Callithrix jacchus: one gene and its partners. The protein of the gene in region 1 interacts with the protein of each later gene in a biochemical or structural test. Links are inferred from orthologs where the notes say so. Each region holds a gene or a part of one and is shown on either strand. Other genes may lie near its edges.

What was found.
Region 2: the proteins of FGF9 (region 1) and FGFR3 form a complex in vitro, tested with the Homo sapiens proteins (3 studies listed by BioGRID and IntAct, with this or other methods). The link is inferred for Callithrix jacchus from reciprocal best matches to the Homo sapiens genes FGF9 and FGFR3.
Region 3: the proteins of FGF9 (region 1) and FGFR1 interact in a biophysical measurement, tested with the Homo sapiens proteins (2 studies listed by BioGRID and IntAct, with this or other methods). The link is inferred for Callithrix jacchus from reciprocal best matches to the Homo sapiens genes FGF9 and FGFR1.

Annotation. Positions count from the first base shown.
Region 1 is NC_133506.1:141,189,961-141,194,114, forward strand, and holds the start of FGF9 (fibroblast growth factor 9), read left to right. Parts: upstream 1-1,336; 5' UTR 1,337-2,166; coding exon 2,167-2,443; intron 2,444-4,154.
Region 2 is NC_133504.1:191,344,232-191,347,269, reverse strand, and holds the end of FGFR3 (fibroblast growth factor receptor 3), read left to right. Parts: intron 1-184; coding exon 185-322; intron 323-443; coding exon 444-549; intron 550-721; coding exon 722-868; 3' UTR 869-2,407; downstream 2,408-3,038.
Region 3 is NC_133514.1:39,299,131-39,303,471, forward strand, and holds the start of FGFR1 (fibroblast growth factor receptor 1), read right to left. Parts: upstream 2,937-4,341; 5' UTR 2,277-2,936; exon of another isoform or gene 1,962-2,276; intron 1,685-1,961; exon of another isoform or gene 1,524-1,684; intron 1-1,523. UniProt on the Homo sapiens protein: Tyrosine-protein kinase that acts as a cell-surface receptor for fibroblast growth factors and plays an essential role in the regulation of embryonic development, cell proliferation, differentiation and migration.

The DNA of each region.
Region 1 (4,154 bases):
AGCTGCGCTCAAGTCTCAGCAACTTTCACCATCTTGACCTGAGAGTCGGGCCGTTTCTAAGACAATGTGAACAAAGAGGAGCAGGGGGAGGGAAGGAGGGCCCCGCGGGAGGGCTGCGGGCGAGCGTCTGTGTGTGTCGGGGGCGCCGCGCTCCGCGCCCGCGGGCACTGGGGATCCGGTGGCGGGCAGGCTGTCCCGGGTGCAGAGCGCGCCGACTCCAGTTTCTCTGGCCGGCCCGGCCCAGTAGGGCCCCGGACGGCCCCCGGAGGCGGGTTTCTTTGTCCCAGACTCCCGCTGGGCGTGAAGGCCGCCGGCGGCGAGCAGAAACCCGAGCCCGCGCACCGGAGGTCAGGCTTCCACGTGCGGCCCCGCCGCGGAGGGCAGGAAGGAGCGGCAGCGGCCCCGGGGCGCCCCGCGAACATCCTGCGTCCGGCCCTCCCGGCTCCACCGCGGGCTTCGGGCGGTTGGAGGGAGACACTAGAACTCGCCCTTCGCTTCCCCGAGCCGACGTAGGGCTCGGGATGTCGCCGCTCTTCCAAAGGAGCGTGGTTTGGGGGCGAGAGGAAGTCCACTGGGGCGCTCCCCTCGACCCAGACTCCCCGAAGACGCGCGCGCCCTAGTCGAAGTCGGGGACAGAGAAGGTTCTCTGGCGCCCCCCTGCCGACTGTTTGGCTGCAGCCAGGACCCGGGCTGCGGGGCGGGACCTAAACATAGCCCCGACCCAAAGATGCCTAGCAGAACGCTCCAAACAAAACCGAAACGGTGCCCTCATCTGCGTGTGTGTGTGTGTGTGTGTGTGTGTGTGTGTGTGTGACGGGGAAGTGGGGTTCAGATCTAACCGCGTCTTACCTGCAACACAGTTTGTGCTTCTGTGTGTGTGTGTGTGTGTGTGTGTGTGTGTGGCAGAAGAATGGAAGAGAAACTGCCACGGCCATCCAAGCCCATTAAATCAACTCCTCTTCCCTCCGACTCTCTCCACTCAGTCTTATTCTATAACGCAATGCAAGGTTACAGAGCCCAAGTGAAAACTAGTTTCCCAGTTTCACTCTGACCCTCCATCCGTGTAGCCAGCTAGATTTTAGGTTATTGGCTTCCATTCCGCAGAACTTCGAGTCTCAGGAGACTCAAGGTTTCTTCCTCCCGCCTCTCGCAGTGCATCTTTCATCTGCTTTTCTTTGTAAAGCCAGGGCTCCTCGGCTGCCTCCCCAGGAAGTCCTGCGCTCTGGCGCGCCTTGCCTGCCGCAGAGTGGCGCGGGCAGCAGGCCGGGCGCTAGGACCGCGGGGAGCCGGGGCGGCCGCGGCGCTACCTTAAACCCAGCCCAATGCCGCTGCCTGCGCCACTCTGCGCGCCGGCGGGGGCTGCGCAGGAGGAGCGCTCCGCCCGGCTACAACGCTCCGCGAGCCGGCGCGGCAACACCTGTTCGCGGCAGCCAGGGCGGCACGCGAGCTCCCGGACGCGGCTCTCCTCGCTCGCCGCTCGCCACCCGTTCTAAGCCAATGGACATCTGCCGAGCCTCTGCAGAATCCTGGATACTAGCTTTGGACGCCTAAAGTTTCTTTTTGTTTTATTATTATCATTTTTTGAAGGGGGGACCGGGAGGGGAGATTTGTCGCCGCCACCAACGTGAGATTTTTTTTTCCCCTTGAAGGATTCATGCTGATGTCTGCAGAGTCGGTTAGAGAGTAAAAACAGCGCATGCCTTCCTGGAGTCAGGATCCGTAAATTCTGACGTAGCCCGTGCATCTTAAAAATCCCTATAATAACGCCTAGGCATTTAAGTTGCTATGGTCATTCTGATCTCAAACCAAATGGAGAAACTACGGATTTTTTTCCCTTATTACTGTCGGATGGGATGAAGACCTTCCTGCCTGCTAAGAGCTGGGGATCTATCTGTAGCGATACATAGATATGTTTATCAATATGTCAGTGTGTGAGTATAAAGTGGTGGTTTCTTAGACTATCAGTGGTTTGACCTTGAACCTGTGCCAGTGAAACAGCAGATTACTTTTATTTATGCATTTAATGGATTGAAGAAAAGAACCTTTTTTTTCCTCTCTCTCTGCAACTGCAGTAAGGGAGGGGAGTTGGATATACCTCGCCTAATATCTCCTGGGTTGACACCATCATTATCGTTTATTCTTGTGCTCCAAAAGCCGAGTCCTCTGATGGCTCCCTTAGGTGAAGTTGGGAACTATTTCGGTGTGCAGGATGCGGTACCGTTTGGGAATGTGCCCGTGTTGCCGGTGGAGAGCCCGGTTTTGTTAAGTGACCACCTGAGTCAGTCCGACGCAGGGGGGCTCCCCAGGGGACCCGCAGTCACGGACTTGGATCATTTAAAGGGGATTCTCAGGCGGAGGCAGCTATACTGCAGGACTGGATTTCACTTAGAAATCTTCCCCAATGGTACTATCCAGGGAACCAGGAAAGACCACAGCCGATTCGGTAGGTATACCATTAACCCTTTAGTGTCCATGAGATGGCATGTTGGAATTATAACTACCAAGAAGGTGGTGGCCGGGTGGGGAACGTGGGAAGGGATCTCCCCTCCTCCCCTCTTTCTCGGTATCTCTCTTTCTTTCTGTGTCTTGCCAGCTCAGAAAAAAATGCCTCCGGAATTGCAGATCTGCTGCTGGCACTGATGCAAGTATACATCAAAAGGCCCCCTACTTTTAATTTAAAGGGGGGCATAATTTATAAATATAATACAAGTTTCCAGTTCTTTTGCATCAGATACACGGGTTTAGGAAGTTTCTTTTGAATGGACCGATTGCAGGAGTTTAAAGCTTTAATCATTAACTACTAAGAACTTAACAGTTTCCTGAAGGCAGTGGGTATCTTGTGCCCAAATTAAGGTTTTTCACTTTTCCCCTTTCCTGTAATAAGTATACTGCTTGAATTGTTTATTTATTAAGCGCATTGATTATTCCCCCTTGTGAGGGTCTGAAAGCCCTATAGACAAAGGTTGCTGACGGATTGTCCTGTTGGGAGGACTAAAGTCATATTTTAGGCTCCGTGAAAACCGGGGGCAGAGGCTTTGGGAAAATGACTTGGGAAGGGGCAGGACGCTCGCTGGGGATGTTTGTTCTTCCCAGCTATCAAGTGATAATCTCTGCTTTTAAATTTCCATAGCGTGCAGCCCTGTGTGGGTTTCTTGCTTGGTTCTCTGGTGTGAGTGTGTGCGCTCGTGCAAACGTTGCGAGGTAATTTTAAAGGGCATTCCGAGGATTTCATTTTCAGCGAGGGTATTTGTGACTCAGCACTGAGGGCTGCAGACTGGAGGGCTGGTGGCTCTGCCCACTTTATGCCTGCACACACGTGCTTGCCGGGGTACCCTGAGCCCAACAGCACGAAGTCAACTAACACACTCCCGATGGGGTGGACTCTCGAGTTTTTTCCTTACTTAAAAAAGAAAAAATTAAGCGCCAGTTGGGGCAACCAGACTGTTGGAAGGAGTTAACTTCTGAGTGAACCCACCTGACAACACTTAAACTGGGTCGTAAAAAGCAAAGTCCTGCGGTGATTTTTCTTCCTCACGCTTTAGTGCCAGATGTTGAAAACAATCTAAACTATATGTTCAGCTTCGTGCTGCTGCGGATGATGCCAGAAGGTGAGGAGGACTCAGGCCTGGGCGGGGGATAGTCCCAGATCCACGAGGCCCAGGATTTGCTCCTTGTGCTCACCCCGGAGCCTAAGCCCACAGCTGAGCCTAGTAGTGTGAAATTGCTTGGGGCGTCTCCACTCGCTGCTTAAAGAAAGTTGTAGCTCTTTGCTTTGCAATTATTTCAGTTGAAATATAACTATCCCCTCCCCACCCCATTAGTAAAGGTAGCTTCTGGTTGTTGCAAAGGCAAGACTAAACTTTTACTAAAAGTGCCGTTTCCACCTGGCCTCTTTAAGGGCTGCCACCGTGCCTAGCGTTCGACACCAGAACAACAGGCAGTGGGCGGCCCTGGGTGGGCGAGTGAGTGTGTCCGGGGCCGCGTCGGCCACTCGCGGGCGTCGGAGCCGCGCCGGTCGAGGCGAACGGAGTGGGCGGTCGGCCTAGGTGTGCCAGGCGGCCGGAGCCCCAGCCCTCCCGCGCTCGCGGCCGGCAGGTGCCCGCTTGGCCGCCCGGGCCCCGCGGCGCACTTAGTGGCGGCCCGGCCGGCTCCGC
Region 2 (3,038 bases), on another chromosome or scaffold:
GGTGGAGGCGGTAACTGGGCAGAACTGGGACCCAGCTTCAGCCCATACCTGTGCCCTGGGGCTCTTGGGCCTGGTCTCTTACCCCTCCGGGGGCAGCAGCGCAGCCCTGGCCTATTCCCCTGGTGCCCACCCAGGTGTCTGTCCTGGGGAGGTTTCAGGACAGTCTGACCTTGTATCTCTGCAGCTGGTCCTTTGGGGTCCTGCTCTGGGAGATCTTCACACTGGGGGGCTCCCCGTACCCCGGCATCCCTGTGGAGGAGCTCTTCAAGCTGCTGAAGGAGGGCCACCGCATGGACAAGCCCGCCAACTGCACGCACGACCTGTGAGCAGCACCGCTGGTCCTCCCTGGGTCCTCCGGCGTGTTGGGGGCTGGGGGGGGGACTGGCAGCCTGAGGCTATTCCTGAGTAAGGTGGGGGCTCATGCCTGAGCACCCTGCCTGCAGGTACATGATCATGAGGGAGTGCTGGCACGCTGCGCCCTCACAGAGGCCCACCTTCAAGCAGCTGGTGGAGGACCTGGACCGCTTCCTTACTGTGACATCCACCGACGTGAGTGCGGGCCCTGGGCTGGTGCCACTCCCCTACCCCCCAGCCCCACCCTGGCCATCCTACCCCAGAAGGCTGAGGTGTGGGGCGGGCCTCTGGGGCACAGCCTGGGCACAGCGGTGGCCGTGGGAAGAGGGGCTTTGTGGGACAGCACTCACCCTGCCTTCCGCGGCAGGAGTACCTGGACCTGTCGGCGCCGTTTGAGCAGTACTCTCCCGGTGGCCAGGACACCCCCAGCTCCAGCTCCTCAGGGGACGATTCCGTGTTCGCCCACGACCTGCTGCCCCCGGCCCCACCTGGCAGTGGGGGCCCGCGGACGTGAAGGGCCGCTGTGGGTCCCCAACAATGTGAGGGGGTCCCTAGCAGCCCACCCTGCTGCTGGTGCACAGCCACTCCCTGGCACGAGACTCAGTCCAGAGGGACAGACGGCCACACAGAGCTTTGGCCTTTGTGCGCGCGCGAGTGCATGTGTGTGTGCGCGCCTGTGCGTCTTGTGGCCTCCGGGTGCAGAGGTCCCCTGGGTGTCCCCGCTGCTATGCAGTGGCCTCCTGACTGGTGCCGCAGCACCAGGGGGCCTTTGACCTGGGGTGACCCAGTGTGGAATGTAAGTGGGCCCAGCCTGTGGGACCCCCGTGGGGCAGGGAGCCGGGCCTGATGTGACCCTGGCCTCTGCTCTTGCATCGTGGAGCATCACAGGGTGGCTTCCGGCCCTCCCACTCCCAAAGCTGAGCCTGCAGGGAAGCCCCACGTGTTGAGCACCTTGTGCCTGGGGGTGTTAGTGGCACTGCCCCCCACATCCAGGCTTTCCTCATTCCCACCCTGCCCCTCAGAGACTGAAATTACGGGTACCTGGAGGTGGGAGCCTTTACCTTTTATTTAAAAGGTTTATTCCAGAAACTAGTGTACATTTCTATAAATAGATGCTGTGTATATGGTATATATACATACATATATATATAAAATATATGGAAGAGAAGGCTGGTACAACGGAGGCCCGAGGCCCTGGGGTCGCAGGAGGCAGACGTGGCCCCGGGCCGTGGCGGAGGCCTCAGGGGTCTCACATACAAGCAGAGGAGCAGGGCCGTTTCTGGCATTGGTTTTGTTTTAAAATTGTACCTGGACCTGTACATTTGTAAAGCTATTTATGGCCCCGGCACCTTGTTCCTATACCCCAACACTTGTAGCATTTATTTAGCCAGCCACAGGGTGGAGAGTTTTAATTTTTAACTTATTAACAGCCGAGAAGGTTTATCCCGCCTATAGACTGTGCGTCCAGCCTGCCCCAGGCTGGGGGGGGTCCCCTCTGAGTCTTCGAGGTGGTTCATAGTTGGAGGGGATGCTGGCGAGGATATTTTATTTCCTTTGTCCTCCTTTTGCAGGAGAATTAGATTTCTATAGGATTTTTTTTTTTAGGAGATTTGGTTTTTGGACTTCAAAGCAAGCTGGTATTTTCTCACAAACTCCTCTAATTGCTGCGTGTCCCAGGCCGGGAGGCGGTTTCCAGGGAGGGGCCGGCCTTGTGTGCAGGTCAGATGTTATTAGATGTTACAAGTTTATATATATCTATATATATAATTTATTGAGTTTTTACAAGATGTAGACTTAACACTTCTTACGCAATGCTTCTGGAGTTTTATAGCCCAGACTGCTACCCTTCAGAGCTTGGAGGGGAGCCGTGAATTCAGTTACTGGGCTGAGTCTGGGCGGCTGTCCCTTGCTTGCCTGCAGGGCCGTGGCTCAGGGTGGTCTCTTCCTGGGGCCCAGTGCATGGTGGCCAGAGGTGTCACCCAAACTGGCAGGTGTGATTTTGTTAGCCCATCGACGAACTTTCCAAAAAAATAAAGAGACGTCTGGTTCCTAACCTGACTGTGTGCTTTCTATTCATCCAGTCGTTCTGGGACAGAGGAGGGAGGGGTCACTGGCCGCCGGGCGGTCCCAGCTGCGCCGCACAGCCCCGCAGGTCACTGGTGGTCTGGGAGCCCCTAGGACGAGGACTGTGTATGAGGGGCCTGGTGAGAGGGAGCAGGGTGCTGGGGGGTGCACCGCCCTGGCTGCTCCCAGCTCGTGGATTCCTGAGGTGGTGGGGGGGGATCCTGTCTCTTCACCCTACCCCTGGCATCTGCCTTCCCGGTCAACTGGGGAGCTTTCTGGGTATCCCCCCCCACCCCCCCCCGCCTACATGGAACCAAAAGTAAGCAAAGCCCTCATGGGCCCCTGGGGGCTATACAGGCGGGCCCTCCTCCAGGTTAGCTCTACCCTCCCAGGCCAGGTGACCCGTGCCCCACTGCCTTGGGCTCCGCCAGGGTCGCTCCTGTGCTCTTCTCCCCTCTGCCGTCCTCCCTCTGGTGTCCTCCCCTCTGCTATCCTCCCTCTGCTGTCCTCCCTCTGCCGTCCTCCTCCCTCTGCCGTTCTCCTCCCTCTGCTGTCCTCCCTCTGGTATCCTCCCCTCTGCCATCCTCCTCCCTCTGCTGTCCTCCCTCTGGTATCCTCCC
Region 3 (4,341 bases), on another chromosome or scaffold:
CCAGGCCAACGTGGGTCCCACAGGGCCCTGCTACTTCGCTTTTAAAGAAGCCTCAGGGAGGAAACCGGGAGCCCGAGCCAAGGGAGGAAAATGGCCACTTTCTGCTCAACAGTCTCAAGGCTAAGGTTTTCCCATTTAGGTGGTATTCCAAAAAAAGCGCTGGTCCGGAGGTGCAAAGGGCAGGGCACATCTGCGGAGGAAACAGTCACCTTAATTACCACGTCTAGAGAAAGTGCGATTTCATTACAGCCTCCAAAACTACCGCCCAAAGAAGGAAACCAGAGAAGTGTTTTCAATTTGAAAGAGACTGGAAAGAAGCGGGTGAGAGACCGACTCTCCCGACTCTCCCCACCCTCCTGCAACTTTGGACCACAAGGTGCTTTCCTGCCTCAAAGACTATGACCAAACACAACTTGACAATCCAACCCCCGCTTTCAAACCTGTGGCCGTTATTTAAACGGTAAAATGTCCCACTTAGCTTCCGGGGATGTGGCCCAAATCAATCCTTAAAAACACAGAGAGCACCTCTGGCAACAGCCGCCCACGCCCCCCGGCCCTGCGCACCGGGCTCGCTCCGGGAGGGGAAGAAGGGGCGCGTGACGCCACCGCGGGGCGGCCGAGAGGGGACCGCGGGCTCCGGGCGGGGCAGGCGCTCCTGCAACTCCAACTGTAACTCAAGGGAAAGAAAGCAATGCTTTGGTTCCAGAAACTTCCATCGTCAAGGCCACTTCTGGCCAGACGCACGGCCAAAGAGCCCCCCTAGTCTAGCGGATGAACCGTTCGCAAGTGCTATCCCCTAAAACCTTGGCCCCATCTCCCAAGATGCCTCTTTTCTGCGCAATCCAGAAAGCACCCCGACCGCCGTCACCCACCAGCGGCGGCGAATAACTTGGTGGGAACTTAAATAACTCGGGATTCAAGGGAACTTTCTTTTCTCCCCTGAATCTCAATGCCGCATCTCCAAGTCTCCAGAAATGATGAGGAGAGAGGTGGTCAAGGCGAGTTGAAGAATCCGAGTTTTAATTTGGGGGAGGGGGAGGGGAGGAAGAGGTAAGTTAATAATGCGGCTGCGGTGTACCCGTGTGGGGTGAAACGGAACCAGATGCGGCCGCCACATCTGGAAAATGGGGATGGGGGAGGGCTAGGGGAGAACCGCACCGTGGAAATGTTCTTCAAACGGGCTGATAGCTTCTGGGCCCAGAACAAGAAACAGGCTTCACCCTCCCTCCCCCACCACCACCACACAAAGTGTCTGGCTGCCTCACAGGGGGTGTTCTATATGAACCCCATCTACAACGTCCACAAATTTCTCTGCCGACGTGGGTCGTAGCCTCCCTTTCTACCAACACCAAACATAACGGGAGGGGACGCGGAGCGCAGAGGGGTCTGGGCTAGACAAGCACACGCATCGCAGCCGAGTGAACCGCACCGGACAAAACCCACATCCCTTCCTCCACCTCCAAGAACCAGATTGGGACGGAACAGCCCCGGCCCCAGCCCCAGCCCCTGCCCCCGCCCCATACCTCGGCTTAACGACCGCGGGTCGTCCTCCCGTTCCCCAAACTTCCGACCCTTTCTGAGACCGTCCAAGTAGATCACCCCTTCTGGAAAGGGGAGTCGTTTTTCGCTTTCAGCTCAAGCAGATTCAGCCATTTGGTGACGACACCTCCTTAAAACGTATTCCAAGAGAAGCTAACCTAGCTCTCCACGTCCTCCGCATTTCATCCCCCCGCCCACTCGCCCCCCACCCGGACCCCAGACTTTCCCGGGGGTGGAAAAGGACTTAGGAATGTCACGGATTTTTAGCGTTGAGCCCAAAGCTACCTGCTGAATTGGGGTGAATCCCCAAAAGGGGACTAAGAAGAGATGGAGCGGAATGCAACACACACACACACACACACACACACACACACACCGCCCCCCTCGCCGCCCACTCCAGCCCTGTCCCTCCCGGGACTCACCGAGTAGCCGCCGCCGCCGCCTCGTCAGCTCCCGAGCGCGAGTTGGCGGAAAAGTTGGGCGGCGGGAAGACCGGCGGGACGAGCGCAGGGAGGGGGCGCAGAAGGCGACGCGGGCGGAGGGAAGGGAGGGGAGACCCAAGGGGGGCGCGGATTGCCGGGGAGGGAGCCGGGAGGTGGAGGGGGCGGGCGGCGAGCGGAGGGAGGCGCCGGCCCCGGCTGGGCTGCGGCGGGCGAAGCGCGCAGCCGGAAGGCTCCGGCGCCTGGGGCTGCTCGGGACGCTAGTCCGCCCCGGATCGGGGGCGCCGCGGCTCTTACCTCGCTCGGCGTGGAGGTTCGGCCTCGGGAGAGTCTGCCGTGGCTTGTGCGAGAGGGCGTGTGCCCGCGTCCCCGGCGCCGGCCCGCCGCCCCCGGGCTCTGTTCGGGTGCTGGCGGGGTCGCGAAAGCCCCGCGGCCGGCGCTCGACTCCCGGCAGCGCTCGGTACTCGGCGCCTCCAGCCCGAGCGGGAACAATGGAGCCGGAGCTGGTGCCCCGGAGGCGGGGCGGGGGGAGGGCTCCCGTCCGCTGCCCGGGTCTCCAGACCCTGCGCCCCCCTTCTCCGGAACGCAGCGGAGGCGCCTCACGCTCCTTGCAGACCAGGATCCATCGCCCCGCGGAGGCTCTGGCGCCGCGGCGTGCCTGACTGCAGCACGGGTACCGTGCGTCCTGCGGGGCGCCCCGAGCTCGGAGCAGAGAAAAGTCCTCGGGCTCCGCGGCTTTTCCAGCAGCGGCGCGCTCGCGGCCGGGGAAGGCGAGGTCGCCGCAATGCGCTACGCGGACTCTCGGTCCGGTCCGGTCCGGACGTGGCCGCCTAGCTCCTGGCACTGCCCGGGTTCCTCCGCGCCCTGCGGCTGCACCGGCGTCCCGGCTCCCGCTGCCTGCCGCCCGCCGCCGAGGCCGCCGAGCCTGTGGCCGCAGGAGCGCTCCGAGCGCTGTGCGCCGGCGAGGCGCGAGGGCTCGCCCTCTCACTCCCACCAGCGCTGGTCCCTCCTCCGCCTCCGCCCTCTGCCGCTGCCTGCTGGGCCTTGTAGTTCCCGAGCCGCGGCCCCCGAGGAGGGGGAGCGGGCCAAGCTGTCCTCCGCTCGGCCCTTCCCTTCCCGCAGCCTGGTCTCCTCTGGCGCTCGCGCCGCTGCATCTGAGCACGTCCCAGAGGGCGCCGGGATTTCAGGCCCTAGACACAGCAGCCGCGTGGGGGGCCAGGTGAAGAGACGCTGCAGCCCTGAGGTTGTACCTGGTAGCGTGGCCTTTGGAGTCTGTGCGCCTTGGGGAAATGATTTTCGCGCTCTAATCTCGGTTTTGCCATCTGTAAAAGGGGAATAATAGTGCTTTTCGTATAGAGTTGAGGCGTCAACGAGGGCCTGGCGCATAGTTAACACTTAATAAATACAAGCTGATTTTATTCTTGAGAAGGTCAGCCCCTCCTCAAACCCTTCCTTTGGATCTCAGCTTTCCCCAGCCACATAATTTAGGTTTTGTGGTCCACCGGGAACTGGACTCTGTAAATTCTTCAGCGATGTTGTTGGCCTCCGGAAGTCTCCAGCCTGCAGTGAACGTCTAGGAAGCAAAGAGTAAGCAGTGGGAGTTGAGGGGAGAGGTGTGGTTGGTTTGGAAATTAATCACAGCCCACTCAGAACACCCTCCAATACTATGGAACCTGGGAAAGTGGCTAAAATGCTTCCCCCTGAGTCTTCCGTGGAATGGTATAATCTAGTGGTTCCCTAATCCAAATGGACACGGGTCCTGTAAAGAACTCTTGAAAAATACAAATTCATGGGCCTGCTCAGACATGAGGAATCGCGCTGTCCCAGGAAGGAGCCAAGAATCTATGTTTTTTCCAAGGCTCCGTGGGGCCTATGATGTGAGCCCAGGCTGAGGCCACTGTTAGGGTGGGAAGCAGGAAGCTCTAGGGCTGAAGGATTCCTCCATTCTGTCCATTTATGAAGTTTGATGCAGGACAAGTCATGCATCTGATAAAATCAAAACAGGGGTATCTGTTGCTACTCCTTCACAAGATGGTCATAAGAATCAAATACAATAATAGGCATCAGTGTGCCAAAAATATTACACAAATAAATGTCACTATGTAAGTTAGTGGCAGGGCCTGTTCCCTCACCATCACCCACCTCAACCCCCAAATTTGTAAGAGTTTGAATACTGAATGAGATCCCCCACGCAACTCCTCCCCCATCCCACCCACTGCTCCTCCCCACCCCACCCCTGTTAATTTAAGAAATGGGTCCTCACATTATTTTTCCTTTTTTTCCCCCTTCTTTTCTCTTTTTTATTTTTTCGGAGACAGTCTCATTCTGTCGCCAGGCTGGAGTGCAGTGGTGCGATCCCAGC